Linked DNA regions of Drosophila melanogaster. The protein of the gene in region 2 interacts with the protein of the main gene of each other region in a pairwise test. Each region holds a gene or a part of one and is shown on either strand. Other genes may lie near its edges.

The links. Proteins that work in one complex are often made in the same cells at the same time.
Region 1: the proteins of CG8173 (region 2) and cg interact in a two-hybrid assay, tested with the Drosophila melanogaster proteins (2 studies listed by BioGRID).

What each region holds. Positions count from the first base shown.
Region 1 is NT_033778.4:14,171,910-14,176,733, forward strand, and holds the start of cg (combgap), read left to right. Parts: upstream 1-1,783; 5' UTR 1,784-2,537; coding exon 2,538-2,663; intron 2,664-4,496; coding exon 4,497-4,633; intron 4,634-4,702; coding exon 4,703-4,782; intron 4,783-4,824. Other genes in the region: ReepB (receptor expression enhancing protein B), read left to right, coding at 381-613, 675-774, 838-899; mRpS16 (mitochondrial ribosomal protein S16), read right to left, coding at 1,122-1,394, 1,460-1,576.
Region 2 is NC_004354.4:17,706,883-17,711,258, forward strand, and holds CG8173 (uncharacterized protein), read right to left. Parts: upstream 2,772-4,376; 5' UTR 2,560-2,771; coding exon 2,300-2,559; intron 1,766-2,299; coding exon 1,407-1,765; intron 1,331-1,406; coding exon 753-1,330; 3' UTR 519-752; downstream 1-518.

The DNA of each region.
Region 1 (4,824 bases), on a different chromosome or scaffold from region 2:
TTTATAATTAGCCAACGGCATGGGGCGGTTTAAAAACCCCAGGGATCCACGAAGGGGCGCCCTTGAAAGCTGTACGAGCACCTGGCACTGTGCCCTTGGAACAGTTAGTCTTGTAGCTAAAGTTTGTAAGTGTTAACTCCATCTGATCACCCTGCGCCCTGTGGAACCGCTCCTGCCCTTGGACCTGCTTATAGCCATAAGGGAAAATGCGCCACTAGGGCAATATCAATTGACCAACTAGATGGCGAACATGGCAGTCGAGGAATTAGAGAGCAAAATTGTCCAACTGTTCGTAGAGAACCCCCTCCTGCGCTACGGTAGAGCTCCAGCAGTGACTTAATGCTATTTACTAATAAGGTATTATATTTCATCATATGTAGGTGCTGTTGGTCTGTGCGCCATCTACCTGATCTTTGGCTGGGGCGCCCAACTACTGTGCAACATCATTGGGGTTCTGTACCCTGCATATATTTCCATCCATGCCATCGAGTCCAGCACAAAGCAGGACGACACCAAGTGGCTGATCTACTGGGTCACGTTTGGAATCTTCACCGTGATTGAATTCTTTTCGAGTCTGCTAACTTCGGTGATTCCCTTTTACTGGCTGCTGAAGGTGAGCTTTGCATTCTTCACATATAAGAATCTTCTTTTAAATGCTTCAACTCCACATGTAGTGTGCTTTCCTCATCTGGTGCATGCTGCCCACGGAACAGAATGGTTCTACCATCATCTACAACAAGCTGGTGCGACCCTACTTCCTGAAACATCACGAATGTGAGTAAATTCACCTCTTAGATATTGCAATTTTACTAAAAGGAGATCAATATTTGCACACAGCCGTTGACAGGATCATCGATGATGGCATGAAGAAAGCCGCTGGAGTGCTGAAGCATGACTAGAAGGCGAATGTACCGTAGCTCCGACCGCTTCTCGCTTATCCATGCATTTGGTTTTGGGCCTGGTCACCAACCTCACCTCGTATTGGTTACGTTTTGCAATAAATTTTAATTCTGTATTCATTTTGTTGTTGATAAGAGCACCAGTGTTCGCTGAACCAGAAGAAATCTCCGTTTGTTAAACGTAAAAACGAAAAGGAGGCTTTTATTGAGGCACAACTATATTTATGCGGTTGATTCCGCCTTTTCTGGCGACGCCTCCGCTTCAGCAGCTGTCCTCCGGTTCCGCCAGGCGGTCATGTAGGTGCGCGGGTGGATGGGCAGTAGTCCGGCAATTCCCAGGAGTTCTGCAGCCGGCGTGGACAAGTGTGCACCTTTGCCCAGCCAATAGCGAATTCTCTCCGTGTTCAGGGCCACCAGTCGTTCGTTGTAATCGTTGGGCAGGGGATCAAAGGAGCCCACCTGCTCGATGACAGGCTGGTGCTGGTTCTTGCGCCTCTAAACCGGAAAATACAATTACCAATTAAAAGTTTTAACCATTTTAATGGCCTAAAAGTACGCACCTCCATGACGACAATGTGATAAAAAGGCCGATTGGTGCATCCCAGGCGTACGAAACGTATGATTTTTGCCGACTTGGCGTAGAAACGACCAATGCCACTGGCTGGCGATAGAGACATCCCGATATTTTATATATCTAATACAAGTTTTGGCATAAAATAAGGATTCTTCAATCAGAAAATGTGAATTGTTATGCAAAGCATGACCGTTGAGGGAAAATTTAACAATACCAAGCGATTGGGTCACACTATTAGTTAGCCCTAACAGCGTTGCCACCTCCGACCGCCCATGTTAGACAGTTGCGGCACCTCGACAACCCTGGCCTGCGCACACACAAGATGGCGTCAGAGAACGAGAAGCACGAACACTAAGGAATTTGTTCAGTGGTGTCTGTGTCTGTGAATTATATTGAAGGAAAAAGAGTGTTTTGTTTATAAATTTAATTGCAAAAACTGCACATCGTCACACGGGGCGCGTGCACACACATCGGCGCACACGCACACCCACGCCAAGGCGACACCTAAACGCAAAACGGAGAGTGTGTGTTATCAATGGAGTGTGTGTTCCCCAACGCCAAGTGAATTTTTTTCGTTGAGACCGAGGGACGGAAAAAAATGGCGCCCGCAGCCAGAGCAACTTGACTTTCTTTTCGGTCCTATATAGTTAGTAGTTGCTTGCCCCCGTCTCGTCGTCGGCGAGCGAATTCGGTGATTTTATTTCGATTTCGTCGCAGTGCGATATCCCCAACGAAGAAAACATAACGAATAATTGATGAAAAAGTGCTTGAGAGAGACCCCCCCAAACGTATTCGAATTTGTTGTGTACATTTTGGCTTCGAACACAGCCGCAAAAATACCATTACCAATTTCCACTTACTACTACTAGAGAGGAGGATAGTATTTTGTACGTGCTTTAGAATACATACATACATACCTACATATACCACAAGCAAGCGAGAAGTGCAATTACATTTGCGTTTGGAAATTTTGCGCTTTTTTCTCTTCCGTCCTCCCATCCAAAAAAAAAAACCCCCCGCTCCCCCTCTCTCTCTATCTTTCTCAACCCGCATTGTGCTAAATAATGTGTGCCGCCCAGAATCCGCCGCCCTTCGGCTATACCTGGGGTTTTGCGGACAACGGCAACCGCGCCGCCGAATCGGTACTGGAGATATCGCCCAACATCAACTATACAGTCAGCGGGGAGTCGGTGAGTCCAAAGTTATAGCTCTATTAAACTGATAAACCCGTTGAAAGCTGCCAGTCTGAGGATATTTCCCCCCTGTTGCCGACATTGCTCCAGGTGCGTGCGTGTGTGGGTGTTGGTGCTGCTGTTGCTGTTGCTTTCCCACACCGAATTGTGTTGTGGCCCACCAATGCATACACACAAACGCACACACGCACTGCGTTACACTCGCTCACGGACTCGCTCGTCTCACCAACACTCGCTGCTTTCGGCAACGAACTGTGTATGTATACGGCCCGAATGGCATTCACGTATACGGTATACGTGGAAAACGAGCGACAGCAACTGCGATATACATACTTACGTACATGTACAACGTATATATGCATACGCCACACGCTTTATGTAACTGCGTTGTCATGCGAATATACGAATATGTACGAATGAACGTACGTATGTATGTTTTTATGGGGGGGATGGAGCGAGTGTATTAGAATTCTTTTAGCATACATCCATACGGATTTTTTTCGTTTCCATTTCATTCGTAAACATTCATAATTTGGTATTTGTAAAACGAATGCGTACACAATTGGCTCTGTGTGCGGAGAAATTCCCAAAATACAACACGCGCACCTGGCGAGCAAGTAAATAAATAAATAGCAATAAATTCCCCCCACAGGCAAATCGGAGCAGTTAATTAGCGGGAAGGTCGTGAAATTTTCAAAAGTCTGGCAGCTGGTACAGGCAATCGATGCTAATCGATATTTTTCTAGGCTATTCATGCATATATCGCTAACCTAATTTAAGTTCTATTAATAATTATTGCTTATCCATAGGTTTTTTTGTTGTTTGTTTCTTTTTTTTTGAGAGCAATATTTTTTGTTGTGCAATTGACAGGAGAAATTGTGTTTGTTGTTTTTTAGTTTATATTTGCGGGCACTTATACAATGGCAAACGCGGCGAATTCGCCGCACTTGCGCGCCCGATATCTCCGCATGTGTGCGTCAGTGCCGAATTCGCCGCGCTTGCTGCCCTCTGTATGTGTGTGTATGTATGTATGCACGCACACTCGACCAGAAATGACGTGTGCTCCCCAGTGTGCGTTTGGTGTCGTGCGTGTGTTTTGATTACTTTTGCCGCACCATTTTGGCGCCCATCACACACACTCCCATGCCACGATGTCCAATTGCACTCACACACATACAGAGTGAAAAAGGCGCGCTTTTTGCGAACATCCCCTCCCGCTCTTAGCGCCCAACTTCCCCCCTCGTTCGTCGTCTATCATCTGTTGCCGCACTGCTGGCTGCGCAGGTGTAGCGTGGTTATTGGCGGTTATTATCAATCAGAGCGAAAACAAAAGACAAGCACTTGGCCAATAGAAGCATCAACCGCCAACAACTCCAAATCACAGCCTGCAGATCTTAGCGAGTGGCGACTGTACTTGCTGCCAAGTTTTAATTTCCCAAAAAAAAAAAGGTTCATGAAGGTCAATTCATTCATAAGTTTGAGCTGAACAATAAAACTGCTACAAGTTTACTTCCTCTCATTTGTTTAAATCGTTTTTGGGACATTAAAATTGTAGAAATGACTAGGGGCAATGTACATAGATTAAAAATTATTTATTATTCTTTTATATAAAAGAGCCTTTGTTGTTTGATATGTAACATTTCTTGAATGAAAGATAGATTTATAAAAAAAATGTGTAAGCCAGGCTTTCCTAAAATCGCAATTCCCAGGACCACGTGTAAACTAAACATGCAACTCCTACAACATAAGCATTATTAAGTTTATTTAGAAATTAGGACAAACCTTTAATTTATCCCCATTAGCCATGAGTACTAAAAGTCTTTGTTCCAGATGCCCTATCTACTATCGACGGATGGATCATTGGCAGTTCAAAAGGATGTCAAAGGCCTTACAGCTGGCGGCAAAAATAATGTCGTTCGTCGTATGTTCGTCGTAAACGATCCTTCATTTCCGCCTGGAACACAAAGGTGCGTTGGCGCTCCAGCAGCCCAAAGAGATCCCCAATGTACATATACCTAATTCTCAATCCCTTGCAGAGTTATCACTGCCGGCGGAGCATCGACGGTGGTCAAGAAGCAGGACAACAATCAGCAGGTCCTGAGCCTCGACAAGAACTGTAAGTGGATCGATTCTAAACGAATCAAAAACCCATCGAATC
Region 2 (4,376 bases):
CTTGCATTATCGAGAAATCTGAACTTACATCGAACAAAAGTCGCCAGAATATCCCGATTTCCAAGCAAACGCATGTATATATATATATATACAAAAGCTAATGTGTATTCCCGCTAAGCAACTGAAAAGACCGAAAAGCAAATCACGAAAGAAAACCTTATATTTTGATGTATGTATTATTATTTTTTAATAAACCTAAGAGAACTTGTAACCGATCTGGTGTGTAATTGGTTTTTTCCTGGGAGGCTATAGCAAAACAATGTAAGTTTATTGTTTATATCACAACCAATTCGAGGCGTTAAAGTATACAAAAAAGTTAAAAATGATATTCGGTTCCTGCATTTATAAACGAAAAAATTGTTTCCCTCTGTAAGCAATACTTTTCAATTCAACTGAATTGCTTTCACTTATTTTTAGCTTACAAAAATCAATTTAAATACATTAGCCGGGCCTTAATCAAAAAAGATCTTACATATACCCTTTTGAAGACTGCGAATTAAAAAACCAGTTAACGATATAGTTTTTGTTCCATTTGGGGATTCGATTTATTCGACCACTCTTTTGCTTGCTGAATATGTACAATTTGCTTAAGTGTGCATTCGCGTTTTGGGGCTTTAACCGTAATTGGTTTGTTCTTACAGGGTAAAAATTATAGCTAATTAATTGTACATTCAAAACAAAAATGAGTCATCTAATCAAATTATATTCAAGAGGAAGATTGTGGAGTTCGGAGGCTGAGAATGATTATCAGTCTAATCGCTTTCTGTCGCAACATTTGCGCCATTGTTCTCCAGGCACTGCCAAATGGTCTTGGCCGCTGGACGATCCTCGCTGAGAGCATTTGTGCACAGATAAAACAGCTCCACGACGCAGTTGTAATCGTCGCTAAGTTGAAAGGCCACTGGCAATGGTGGTCGTGTACCATAGGCGGAATGAAGGTTATTCAGTGTAAAGTAAGAGATATCGTTCTCCTTCGTGTCATCATCTTCTTCATCGTCTTCCTCCTCCTCTTCCTTCTCCTCCTCATCATCCTCCTCGTCATAATCTTGACTCATATCGTTGTCTGTGTGTTCTTCCATTGCAGAAGGTAGTCCGTTCTTGTTTTCATCGCTGGAGAAGTCCAACTGTTTGCACTGCAGCTTGTCCGTGTCGGTGGGTAAATCGTGCGAACTGTCCATATCCTCTCCCAGTGCTGCATCAAGCTCCAAGGTATGTGGAGGCACCAAAGCAAGGGTTTCGTAGATAACCAGGCCAAAGCTGAATATGTCTGCCTTGCTGTCAATAACATCCACTTCGTCTATGACCTCCGGTGCGCACCAGAGGTTAGTTCCTAAAATATTAAGACATAAGTGGTTAATTTGACTGAATGTGAAATTATTTATATCATATGGGGTCAGTAAACTCACCCACATAGCGCAGTCCGGGATTCTTTAGGAAATTAACCTCGCCCTGCTCGTCCAGCGGAAGAGAGACTCCAAAATCGCACAGCTTACAAATCTCAAACTCGCCTTTGACCAGGACATTAAAGGACTTAAGGTCGCCGTGCATGAGGTGAGCTTCGTTGTGAAGAAAGTCTAGTGCCTGGGCCACGTCCATGATCATCTTATAGGTATGTTTGGCCGGCAACGGGCCCAGATCCTCGTCGTGTCGCTCCTCGAGTATGGAGCCCAGTGAAGTGGTGCACATTTCAAGTGCCAGTGTGTTGATGCCCTCGTCATTGGTGATAACGCCACGGAATCCCACGATGTTTGGATGCTTCAGTTTGCTGTAAAGTCAAAAGGTGCTGTTTATAGGGGGCAATTATTACAGCAATCCTGCGTAGTGTGTATAAAAAATGCACATTTTACGCAGTCACCTGTAGGTAACTCGATGCATTGGAAGCAAAAACTATGTACATCTAATAATAGCTTTATTTACTAGTATTGAGTTTCCCGGCTGAAGTGCGATGACTTAGGATCTTACTTGGAATATTTTGTTTGGTAATGCTATAATTTTTGTAATCTAATAAAGATTCTTTTGTTTAAAAGATGGGATATATGCAAAATAACATTTTAAGCTGGAATTTAAGGATGATCTATTCAATTCGAAGTGAGCCTAGATTACAATGGGGTATTTTAGCGAGCATGGACTGCAGCTGCTCAGCTGTGGGCCACCCTAATGAATTGCTGACCCACATATCGGATCACCCTAGCACACACGCACATTCAGCATCCGCACACGCACAAACACATGCACCCACACGCAGGACACCGACACATACTGCCAATTTGATTGGGCTTCTGGATTTGGATGAGCCTACCGCAGGATATCGGCCTCGTGAACAATTCGCTCGTTGAAGAGTGTATCCTTCTTGACCCGCATGTTCTGCGTGATCCGCTTGACGGCCCAGGGCGAGCGGATTTCGCCGAGACGAGGCGAGCGGTCCAAGCGGTAGACCCGGATCCCAGTGCCGTGGCCCAGGGTCTTCATCATCGGCGATGGCGGCACGTTGATGGGAGTGCTGCTGTTCTGGACATTCTCCAGGTGCAAATTTCTTAGCTTGCGGCGTGGCGTGTCCATCGCAGCAATAGTAAAATTCAATTAAACCAAAATTAAAGCGACGCGCACAAAACACCGTTTAAACTGTAAATGGAATGCAACAGTGTTGGTGTTGTGTTTGGTCCTAGGCGATAGAGTGACCGTGGCGTCTCTTTTGACTGGAATTAATCGCAAAATAGATGCTAAGCGCAATGTTCTTGTTACTGCCTTGTAGAGCACTCAAACTCTACTAAGTAATAGCTTATAAACTTCCGTCTGAAGTAACTGAAAAACAAAACACACGCCTGCTGTTCTAGGGCGCTGTGCGACTGGTCACACTGAATAGTGGACCGGCGTGCAGTACTAAATATTTAGTCGTTGGCATTCAAATTGCTCCTTATAAATTCCAATTAACTACGAATTATAAGAAATAGAATCCAGTTCCATAATGTTGGCAACGAAATTGGATGGAGTACCTAATACAAGGCCAACAAATATCCGTTTTTAATATATAAAAGTTAGCAACACTATTTTCCATGTTAATACCGGTCGTTTTGTACCGTTAAGCTTTAAATTAAATATATGACACTTAGCCAAGACGCGAACCCATACAGGTGCGTGTTACCCAGACAGCAACCGACACAGAAGTACCGCATTTCGTTGGTATTATTTTCACACCAACAATTGGCGCGAAAGCCGTGCCAAAGCAGAGATGCGATAAAGAAGAGGAGTGCAGAGAGGCGGCAGTCTGTGGAGAAACACCAGTGGAATCGCACACAAGCGCGGCGATTCGAAAGCGGACGTGTGTGAAAATCCAGACCGCGGGTTTTTTAAAATTTTTTGTTTTATTTTTTCGCGTGCGGTGTGGGAGGGTGTCACATCCAAAAAACACAAAGCGACAGCAACAACAACTCCGTTAATATTCTGGATCGGGCACACACGCACACAAACATAAAAAAACCGAAATATACACATGCTTGGCGGAGTTCGTGATTTAAAAATAATACAAAACACCAGAATTAAATATACGCGCACGCACACACACACGCGTATGTAAGGTGCAAAATAAAGTTTCTTTACTGGTTTCTGGTGTTAACAACAACAAAAAACATGAATAACTAAAGAAGAAACCGAAAATATAAACGAAAAGAGGAGCCGCAAAAATGCCACTCAGCTGTTACGGCGAAAAAACAGCGAAAAACGCCAAAAACATCGAAAATCAGGTGTAGCGAGAGAGGAAATATGGTGATTAAAACAAAGAGTGGAATTGGAAACGAAATCGTTAAAAATCAAATAATAACAATAACTACAACAAAGGCGGCGGCAACCTGCTCTTGAAATTGCCACAAATCTTGCTTTAATCTTTTGTTTTACAATAACCCCCAAAATCGCCATAAGGCACAAGTGCAATAAAAACCATAACAACAACAACAACAGCAAGAACAAACAAAATCAATATTCAAATTAAGCAGCAGCACCAACAACAACAACTCAACGAGCCGAGTCGATAAGCTAAACGATAAGTGCGAGAGCCAAAAAGGGGAGAAGAGCGCTCGACAGAGAGCGCGCGAGAGAAAAGCCGAGAGAGTGAGAACACAGCATCCACCCAAACCAAATCCACAAAATTACCACCCCCACAAAATGGGACGTCGAACGTATTTAAGCCGGTCCTCAACGATTTCCTACCCCAGCAGAATCGAAGGATGGCTGGATGTCTGCGGTGAGTGGGAGTTACATATGTACATACATATAACATCATAGACTTCATAGTGAATATCTCTCTAATTTATGTTTTATAAGTGAAATATAGGGTTGTAGTGTAACCTCATTCAATAATAATGAACTTAAATGAACTTAAT